Linked DNA regions of Oryctolagus cuniculus. The protein of the gene in region 2 interacts with the protein of the main gene of each other region in a biochemical or structural test. Links are inferred from orthologs where the notes say so. Each region holds a gene or a part of one and is shown on either strand. Other genes may lie near its edges. The genes, in order: BCAP31, CASP8 and DEDD.

What was found.
Region 1: of the proteins of CASP8 (region 2) and BCAP31, one has a biochemical effect on the other in vitro, tested with the Homo sapiens proteins (2 studies listed by BioGRID, with this or other methods). The link is inferred for Oryctolagus cuniculus from reciprocal best matches to the Homo sapiens genes CASP8 and BCAP31.
Region 3: the proteins of CASP8 (region 2) and DEDD form a complex in vitro, tested with the Homo sapiens proteins (2 studies listed by BioGRID). The link is inferred for Oryctolagus cuniculus from reciprocal best matches to the Homo sapiens genes CASP8 and DEDD.

What each region holds. Positions count from the first base shown.
Region 1 is NC_091453.1:132,081,519-132,085,173, reverse strand, and holds part of BCAP31 (B-cell receptor-associated protein 31), read left to right. Parts: intron 1-892; coding exon 893-993; intron 994-3,655. UniProt on the Homo sapiens protein: Functions as a chaperone protein. Is one of the most abundant endoplasmic reticulum (ER) proteins.
Region 2 is NC_091434.1:38,673,079-38,676,733, forward strand, and holds part of CASP8 (caspase-8), read right to left. Parts: intron 797-3,655; coding exon 295-796; intron 1-294. UniProt on the Homo sapiens protein: Thiol protease that plays a key role in programmed cell death by acting as a molecular switch for apoptosis, necroptosis and pyroptosis, and is required to prevent tissue damage during embryonic development and adulthood.
Region 3 is NC_091438.1:37,680,476-37,682,851, reverse strand, and holds part of DEDD (death effector domain-containing protein), read right to left. Parts: intron 1,993-2,376; exon of another isoform or gene 1,972-1,992; 5' UTR 1,908-1,971; coding exon 1,583-1,907; intron 1,259-1,582; coding exon 1,151-1,258; intron 847-1,150; coding exon 700-846; intron 1-699. UniProt on the Homo sapiens protein: A scaffold protein that directs CASP3 to certain substrates and facilitates their ordered degradation during apoptosis. May also play a role in mediating CASP3 cleavage of KRT18. Regulates degradation of intermediate filaments during apoptosis.

The DNA.
Region 1 (3,655 bases), on a different chromosome or scaffold from region 2:
TCAGATATTTTTCAAAACTTCTAAAGTGAGAAATATAGGCCACTAATCTGAGCCACAAGAAGATGTGCAGCGATTCCTGAGGAATATTTTTGCCCAAAACCAAATCTGCATGCAGTTCAGAGGACCCTCGGAAGTGCAACCTGGGAAGCTGTATGGTACAGGCAACCTGGTTTTTGCATAAAGTAAATTGGAAAAGAAAGAGGGAGAAAGGAAGGGGGATTTAAAGAATAAGAGAGACTTACGGCACTTAACTAATGTCCAAAATAGGACCTCGTTGGGTCTTTTAAAAGAATATTTCTTTTTTTTAAAGGTTTATTTATTTATTTGAAAGGCAGAGTTATAGCGAGAGGGAGAGGGAGGGAGGGAGAGAGAGAGAGAGAGAGAAAGAAACCTTCCGCCTGCTGGTTTACTCCTCACATGGCTGCAACAGCCAGGGCTGAGCCAGGCCAAAGCTAGGAGCTTCATCCAGGTCTCCCGTGTGGGTGCAGGGGCACTTAGGCCATTTTCTACTGCTTCCCAAGGAACATTAGCAGGGAGCTGGATTAGAAGTGGAGCAGCTGGGACTTGAACTGGGTGTCCATATGGGTTGCTAGCAGCAGCTTAACCCGCTGTGTCACAACGCCAGTCCTACAAGACACACATTTTGAGTACTACAAAGGAGAGTACAAATGAAAAGTGGGTTTTCCTCTCTAGAGACCACTAATGTCTAGGCATTCCTATCTGTATACATGCAGCTTTTTTTAAGCACTTTTAAATAGCTACCATACATTGGAGAATTCCAGGTGTCTGAAGCTGACACCATGCCGCGCTCGGGCCATGAGAAGAGTGCAAAGCTGACTCTCTGTGCTGGTCAGGGCCCTGCCCCCCAGGATCATGTGCTTTCCCTTCACAGATGGCAGAAGATTTTCAAGTCTCGCCTGGTGGAGTTGGTCGTGACCTACGGCAACACCTTCTTTGTGGTTCTCATCAGCATTCTCGTGCTCCTGGTCATTGGTGAGTGGGCTGTGTGTGGCCTCTGCTGTTCTGTGCTCTGCCAAGTGGGGCTTCTCGCAGACAGATCAGTGAGGCGCCCCCGTCTTTCTTTTGGGCAAGATGGTGCTGCTGCCAGGCATTTGTGGAGAGAGGTTCCTCCAGCAGGGGTGTGACTATACCAGGCAGTCGTTATCTGCATCCTTATGACAACTGCCTCACATTTCCGAGGTTGCTCCTCAGGTCATTCTAGAAGCAAAGCTAAGACAAGCTAACTGGCTCATGTCTCTGGTCTAAGCAGTACTGCTTTCCAGTCATTTAACCAGCAGCATTCTCCCTCAGTGTCTGAAACAGGTCTTCAAATAAGGGGCTGAGCACCCAAGTAGACAGGGAGCCTTGTGGAAGGAAGTCCTGCCGTGTCTGCTAATGGAAAAGGGCACTGAGCTGACTAGCAGTGTAGCTTGGGGACAAATCCCAGACCTCTCTGGATCTGGGCTGGACTTCAGGTCTTTGCAAGTGCTTCCAGCTCTGCGGTCCTATAAACCTTGGCATTGAGACACACACCTGCAGGGGCTTGAAAGACAAATGGACCAGAGGGCATGCTTGGGTGGGGCTGGAGCCGGTGGTGCTAAGATGTAAGGTGGACATTTCAGGGCAAGGTAGTGGCAGAGTTGTTTGGAGGCAGGAGGAGTCCATAAAACTTGTCTGCCTGTTAGTTGTGCACTGTTTTGCTGTGCTGAGTGATCACTGTGTCCACCTACTCAGACTCCGCAGTGTCAGCTCTGTTGGGACAGGGGTCCTGTCTCATGGTGGTGGTGCTGCTTAGGCTTGGCGTACTCCTCTCCCCCGTCCCGTGTCCTTCGCAGAAATGCAGCGGGGACTGCGGGGGTCAGGGGAGTGTGCAAAGACTGCCTCCCACTCCAGGCCTCCAGCTGCAGCATCAGGCATTTCTCCTTCCTGATGTCTTGAGGCCTGACAGGATATGTTCAGGAAGAACTGCCTCTGAACAGGCCAGGTGCGGCTTGCAGTTCCAGCCACGTAGGATAGTGCCTCGCTGTTCCTGCAATACTTGGCAAGACCCCAAGAGGCCGTTCTTCCCAGTCAGGACTCTTCCCTGAGCAGCTCTGAGCCAGGAGCTCGGGGGGGAGTTGCGTGTTGTCTCTGGGGCTGAGCGCCACGAAAAGCCAGGCTACAGAATTTTTGAACTGTGCCTGTATATTTTTGCTCTTAGGTTCTGATTGGAGGCAAGGACTAGGGAAATGAGGGATTAAGCCAGAGATTATTACCTCAGTGCCTTAGCCTTCCAGTACTGTAACCATCTCTGTTTCCTACCGCAGCTCAATGAGCCAGAGATCCTTTGTAGCTTTGAGTACTTGATAAACCTGTATTCTTTTTTAGGATCAAGGTCCTGCTCAGAAGTTCTAGAGAGACATATGGCTGGAACAGCTGGCTGCTTCCTACCCTGATGTTAAAAAGCAGAATCCAGAGAGAGTCCTCTACAAATAGAAATGGTAGTGAATAGCAAGAGCTAGTTAGTGAAAAGTAGTGGGTGCAACCAGCTGGAGCTACAGCCTGGCCCACCCTTTATGTTCCCTGGGAGAGCCCCAGGACCCATGTACCCAGGAGAAGGCGGTGGATGGGTCTAGGGCGCACCTCCTGGGTATGATGAGGCAGAGCCAGTGCCTCCCAGCCCAGTCTTCTCTTGGCTGTTGACCAAGGTGGGCCTTATGACGATGAGATTCCTCGATGCAGGGGGCAGTGTAAGAAAACAGGACTTTTAATCTTGTTTTCTGATTAGAAAGTAATGCTTAATTGTTTTTGAAAGTTTAGAAATTGAACTTAGACAGTTAAAGTCCCCCATCATCCCATGTCTTACAGGCAGCCATCCCAAATACTTTCTCATGCATTTCCACCGGTGTTCTCTGCTTACATCTCTGTTACCATGTTTACAGTAGTGGGATCATGCACACACGTTTTAGATTGTGCTTTTTTCCCTCTGGTTATAAATTAGACATCGTTGTACAGCAATCTCATTCTTCTTAAAGAGTACATAGTATTCTCATATAGTTGTACCACAATTTAATGCCCTCTTTGTAGATACTCTCACAACATTGCACATTTGTACAAAGGCTTCTGTGGGATAACATCAGAGAGAAGGAGTCACTGAACCTGAGGGTATGAACATCTTGCATTTTATTTTATTTATTTATTTTTTTAATTTTTTGACAGGCAGAGTGGACAGTGAGAGAGAGAGACAGAGAGAAAGGTCTTCCTTTGCCGTTGGTTCACCCTCCAATGGCCGCCGCGGCTGGCGCGCTGCGGCCGGCGCACTGCGCTGATCCGATGGCAGGAGCCAGGAGCCAGGTGCTTTTCCTGGTCTCCCATGGGGTGCAGGGCCCAAGCACCTGGGCCATCCTCCACTGCACTCCCTGGCCACAGCAGAGGGCTGGCCTGGAAGAGGGGCAACCGGGACAGAATCCGGTGCCCCGACCGGGACTAGAACCCAGTGTGCCGGCGCCGCTAGGCGGAGGATTAGCCTAGTGAGCCGCGGCGCCGGCCCGAACATCTTGCATTTTATAACAGGTGTCTTATGTCAGTTAGTGTTCCTGCTTAGAGTATGTGAGGGTGCTTGCTTCATGCTACAGATTTGACAGTAAAGGAAGGTGGATTTTTATGATGCAAGATC
Region 2 (3,655 bases):
CCAGCCCCATGATACCCTGATTGTCCTTTTGAAGTGTTGGTTTTAAGAAAACCCCTCAATGAGTACCCCCGTATCTCCATCCGTGGTAAAGATGCTAACACTTGCCTTTTCTCCCACGGCTAGACATTTGCAGATGAATGGGAGTCACCTCCCTTGGCTATTTCTCTGATCTGTTAATATTACCTCAACCACAAAGCACGTTCTAGCGGACTCTAAATATGGATCTCTAATCGCAGAGATGGGGGATGAGGCAGGTGGTAGAACTTTGAGGAGGCTTAGGTAGGCAAAACTTACTGAGGACATCTTTCTCTTAGGCTCTGGCAAAGTGACTGGATGTACCAGGTCCCCTCAAAGAGGTTTCGATAGGAGACACAGTTGTTCACAGTGGCCATCCCCAGCAGGAAGTCAGCCTCATCGGGGACGTATCTCTTTGGAAACGATGAGTCCATTTCTAAATAGGTTTCTTGCTGCTCTGAGTCTATCGCAACAGGAACGGCTTGCTGGTACTTATCCCCTTGACAAGCTTGAATGAAAAAGACTTTGGGTTTTCCAGCAAGAGAGGGGCATTTCGAACCAGTGAAATAAGAGGTCAGATCATAGATGCAGGCCTCCTGCCCATCAGTGCCATAGATGATGCCCTTGTCTCCATGGGAGAGGATGCAGCAGACGAAGCAGTCTCTGTCTTTGTGGTCCATGCTTTGGTAGCTTTGCAGAATGTCACAGATCTGCTTTGCCGTGCAGTCATTGTAATGGACTACTTCAAAGTGAAGGTCAGTGAAGGTATTGCTCAAAGCCTCTGAAAAGTCAAGTCAGAGAAGTTACACTGTAGCACAGTCATTCCCACACTACAGCCCACAGCTGGAGAGAACAGTGAGTTCGATGTTAATGATAATTTGAATCAGAACTGAAAGAACAAGACCTCCTATCTCAGTAGCTGGATTCTATAGGCAGCTGAAAACATTTCCAAGCCTTGAAGCAAATGGTAAAGGGGAGAGTGCTATTGTTGGTCCGTTGTCTTTTCTGAACTACTTTATGAGATGAGTGAACTATTATTAAGGCTTACTACCAAGCCAAATTAAAGTGTGGCTGTGTTATAAGGTCAGAAAAACGAAGTAATTTTTAAGACTTATTTATTTTAAAAGCAGAATTACAGAGAAGGAGAGAGACAGAAAGGAGGGAGAGAGGGGGAGAGGGAGGGAGACAGAGAATATTTCCTCCCCTGGTTCACTCCCCAAATGACCTCAATGGCCAGGACTGGGCCAGGCCAAAGCCAGGCACCTGGAACTCTGGATCTCCCACATGGGGCCCCAGCACTACAGCCCATCCTCTGCTGCTTCCCAGGTGCATTGGCAATGAGCTGGATCACAAGAAGAGCAGCTGGGATGCAAACCAATGCTCATATGAGCTGCTGGTATTACAGGGCGCAGCTTGACCCACTGGGCCACAGTGCCATCCCTAAAAGCAGTCATTTTCAGCAAAATATTAATATTTATTTTATGCTTAACCAGCTACAAAATGTTTGTATTTATCAAAATAAAATACACAGATTTTAAAATAGAACTGAGATCTAATATATATATATATATATATATATATATACACACACACACACACACAGTGATCTTCTCACTAACCCTCTCTGTTCCCCCACCATGTTTCATGAAGGCCAACACTTTCAGCTTTTAACTACTTTTTTGCTGTTGGATTCCATTTTATAATGAATTTGGATGCTATTTACTCAAGTACAAATTTCGGATTTCTGTATTGAGCTCTTATATTAATGATAAGCAGGTTGAATCTACAGTAATATTTATATTACTAAGATTACACAAACATAATGGTCTTTAATTATACAAATATTTCCTTTCTCATTCAACTTTTTATCTTTAATGCATTAGTAATCACATTATTTTTCCTCTTGCTTTGTTTTCTATATGCTTAATATTATTTATTTTCTACAAATGCTCTGATAGATCTGGTCTAAGTGTTTCAAAATCTTCAGGCTGCTTATTTGACCCATTTTTTTTTCTTCCTGGGAAGCTTCTACCCTTTGGCACTACATTCTTCTGCTCCAGTCCCAACTAGCTGCTCCCTAGGAATGATGAGTTTCTCTTTTCCTGGGGCATCTCTATAGTTTTTCCATAGTAATTTCCTGAAACTATGACTTTTTATCTCTTAGCTTACTAGCTTGTTTAACTTGAATAGATCTGATAGTACATGAGAAGTAAAATTTTTGAGCCTTTCATTTCTACTTTCATATGTTTTGATAGTTTAGCTGGATATAGAATTCTATTTCCAAAAGCATTTTTCCTCAGAATTTTGAAGACATTTCTTCAATCTTTAGTTTTCAGTGATGCTATTGAGAAACCCATGGACATTCAATTCCTGATATTTTATGTATTTGTCTTGACTTTTTTTCACTAGAAGCTTCTATAATGTGATATGCTTTGATGTAACTCTTTTGCAACTTCAGGCCCTTTCAGTCTTGAGACTGACTCATGGACAATTCAATGTCTCCTCATTTTCTCTGTCCTCTCTTTTTGGAACTATCATTGTCAGAGGTTGAAAATTCTTAACTGATTTTCAAATTTTCGTATCCCTTTGCTCTTATTTGCATTCTTTCTTGTCTTTTTGTCTGCCATCTGAGACTGGAATCTTCCACACTATTGAATTTTTCATTTCTGTGCTCATATTTCCATACTTTTCAAGGATTGTTTCTTGTTCTGTTGATGTTTCATAACATCTGGTTCCTTTATGAGTCTGTTACTAGATTTCTGCAAACACTAAATATAGATTTTCCAAAGGTTTATTCTTATCAATATTATCTTTGTTTCTTTCACATTCTAGTTCATTATTTTCTGATTTGTATTGTGTCTCTGTTTGGTATTAGATTATTTCTTCACGTGTTTGATGATCCTTGACTGTCACTTCATAAGTTGACTAATCAATGTATTTGTTTTTATTTTTTAAAGATTTATTTATTTGAAAGGCAGAGTTACAGAGAGATAGGGAGAAAGGAAAAAGAGGGAGGGAGAGAGAGAGAGATAAAGAGAGAGAGAGAGAGAGAGAGAGAGAGGTCTTCCATCCTCTGCTGGTTCACTCCCCAAATGGCTGCACTGGCCTGAGCTGGGCCAGGCTAAAGCCGAGAGACAAGAGCTTCTTCCATGTCTGCCATGTCGGGTGGCAGGGTCCCAAACACTTGGGCCATTTCTGCTGCTTTCCAAGGCATATTATCAGGGAACTGGATTGGAAGTGGAACAGTGAACCAGAGCCTGTATGGAAAGCCAGCATCACAGGCAGTGGCTTAAGCTGCTAAACTACCACACCAGCTCCAACTAATCAATTTAAAAGTTGACTGTGTTCATGAGTGGGTTTGTTCACTGGTGGACTTCATAACATACTGATTGGCTGGGGGCCTGATTGTTTCATTAGGGGACCCCTAGATATCACTACCTGTGAGTCTTTTATCTGGGGCTCTCAGTTTTTCCAGAGGAGAATCCATATCTGCTTCCATGGTTCTTGGAACTAAATTGGGTTAGACAGTTGACTCCATGCTACCAGGAGGTTGAATTTTCCTTACTCTCTTGTCCCTTATTATGGTATAATAGGAATAGCTGTTGGCATCTTTGAGATGATCCATAGATCTGGGGGTTAT
Region 3 (2,376 bases), on a different chromosome or scaffold from region 2:
AGTTCTTTTTTTAATTTATCTATTTGAAAGGGAGAGTGACAAAGAGTGAAGGAGAGAGGAGATCTTCCATCCACTGGTTCATTCTCCAAATGCCGGCAACAGCTGAACTGGACCAGGCTGGCGCCAGGAACTACAGCTGGTAGTCATCTACTACTTCTCAGGCACATTATAGCAGGAAGCTGGATCAGAAGCAGAGCAGCTGGGACTCAAAATGTGCTCCAAGATGAAGCAGGTGTCCCAAGCAGCAGCTTAAACCACTGTGCCACCCCAGGACTAATTTTTTCCAGAGGACTCTGTGCCTCTGAAATTGTTGCCTGATTGCAGGAGGTTCCCTGCAGTGGAATATGCTCAAGTCAGCATTATTCCTATCACAAGCAGCACCTTGCTCATAGGAGATAATTTTCCTAATTAACAGGCATAGAAGTTAATTTTAAATCTCTATCTAGACTTGGTTTGCCTTACAATAAGGATGGCATAATGGCACCCTTTTGATCAAATGTTCAACTAAAAAGAGTTTAAATGTATCCTTCCCTAAGATAAAGAGTTCTTCCATGAGAGAATTAACCATTCAACTTCACTTTGCTATAGTAGTCAAAGTGAGGTTTGCACTGAATATTATAAATTGCCCAGTATCCAAGCACTTCTTTATATTTCCCCACAAGTCTTATTCCATCTCTGGAACCTTTAAAATTTTCTTACCACACGTCTGCTTTTCCTTGGGATCTGGTGTCACTGACTTCCGACGTTTCCGCTGGCTCCCAAGTGTGGCTCTCCCTCGAGCTGGCCGCTTGCTACACATCTGAGGACCGGAAGTGGGGCAGCACACCACAGGATAGTGGGGAGGCACTGGCCAGAAGGTAAAAGGGAAGAAAACACAGTCGGGCAAACGCAGAAATCCAAAACACTTCTCTTGGATTGAGGAAGGAGACATTTAGACTTATCACTAAAAACAGTGTCAACAACGTGACCTGAGAGGAGGATACAAAGTTAGAGCCAACACAGAGCCTACGTGAAGTATTAACTCTTCACCTCGTGATTCACGGGACGGGTGGAGGATAGCATCCCTCCATTAGGCCGGCAAAACCAGCAATGTGACGGTAGAGTCCTCCTATTTGATTAGGGAAGTTTGAGGGAGTTTCTATCTTCTCACCTGTTTTAGGGGGCTGGGGAGGCCTCGGTTCTGGGTCACTGAGGGCTCTGGGGGTCACGTAGCGAATTGATGTCTCTTCCAGATACTTGTCTACAAGATCAGGGCACACTGTAGAGGAAGGAGGAGTCATTCAGAAAAGAGACACCCTTCTCTTCTCCCAGTCCAAACCTCACTCTTGTGAGTGAGGACCGAATCGGAAGACAACAGCCAGGACTAGAACCAGCGCCCATATGGGACGCCAGTGCTTCAGGCCAGGGCGTTAACCCGCTGTGCCACAGCGCCGGCCCCGTGAGTGAGGATCTTGTAACTTCACTCTTCCAGGCGCTTGCCAGGCTCAACGCCTCTTCCCCTTTGGATTACTACGCTGCTCACTCCTGGCCTCCCACACCGCTTCCCTGATTCCAGTGGTCCCAGCCCCCGGGGCACCCTCACCAGCCCGTCTCCTCTTGAGGGTGACGTAGGGCAGCAGGTCATGGCGAGTGATGATGCGCAGCAGCTGCAGCACCTGACGAAAGTTACTCTCATCACAGCGGCCCTGGCGTTCCAGTGCCAATAAGAAATCACGTCCATTTCGGATGAGTCCACGCTCGTGGTCATCAATGACATCCACGAAGAGGAAGGAAAGCACACGCACGTCTCTGTGTGTCAGGTGGGTACCCACGATGTCAAACATGCGGTGCAGGCTATACAGCCCGTGCTCCTGCTCACCATGCTCTTCTGGCCACACCTGGCTTGCTCTCCGCTTTAGGCCCGCCATGCTGGGGGCTCAGGTACGCAATGCTTTCCAGAATCCCTGCGCAGCAGCTGTAATCCCCACTGAACTGTAAGGACAAGGAAACAATCTATGAGCCACATGACAGAAATGAGTCTCACCCATTCCTGTATTCCCAGTGCCTAGCACAATGCCTGACACAGTACAGTAACGCTACACATGTCTTTTCATTATTATTATCATTATTGTTATTTGGAGAGGCAGAGAGAGCATCCCCATTTGCTAGTTCAATCCTCAAATGTTTGCAACAGCTGGGACTGGACCAAGCCAAAGCCAGGGCTAGGAACTCAGTCAAGGTCTCTCATATGGGTGGCAGGAACCCAGGTCTCCCACATGGATGCAGGTGCCCAAGCACCTGGGCCATCTTCTGCTGCTTTCCAAGGCTCATTAGTAGGGAGATGGATTGGAAGTAGAGCAGGGGCCAGCGCTGTGGCACAGTGGGTTAACGCCCTGG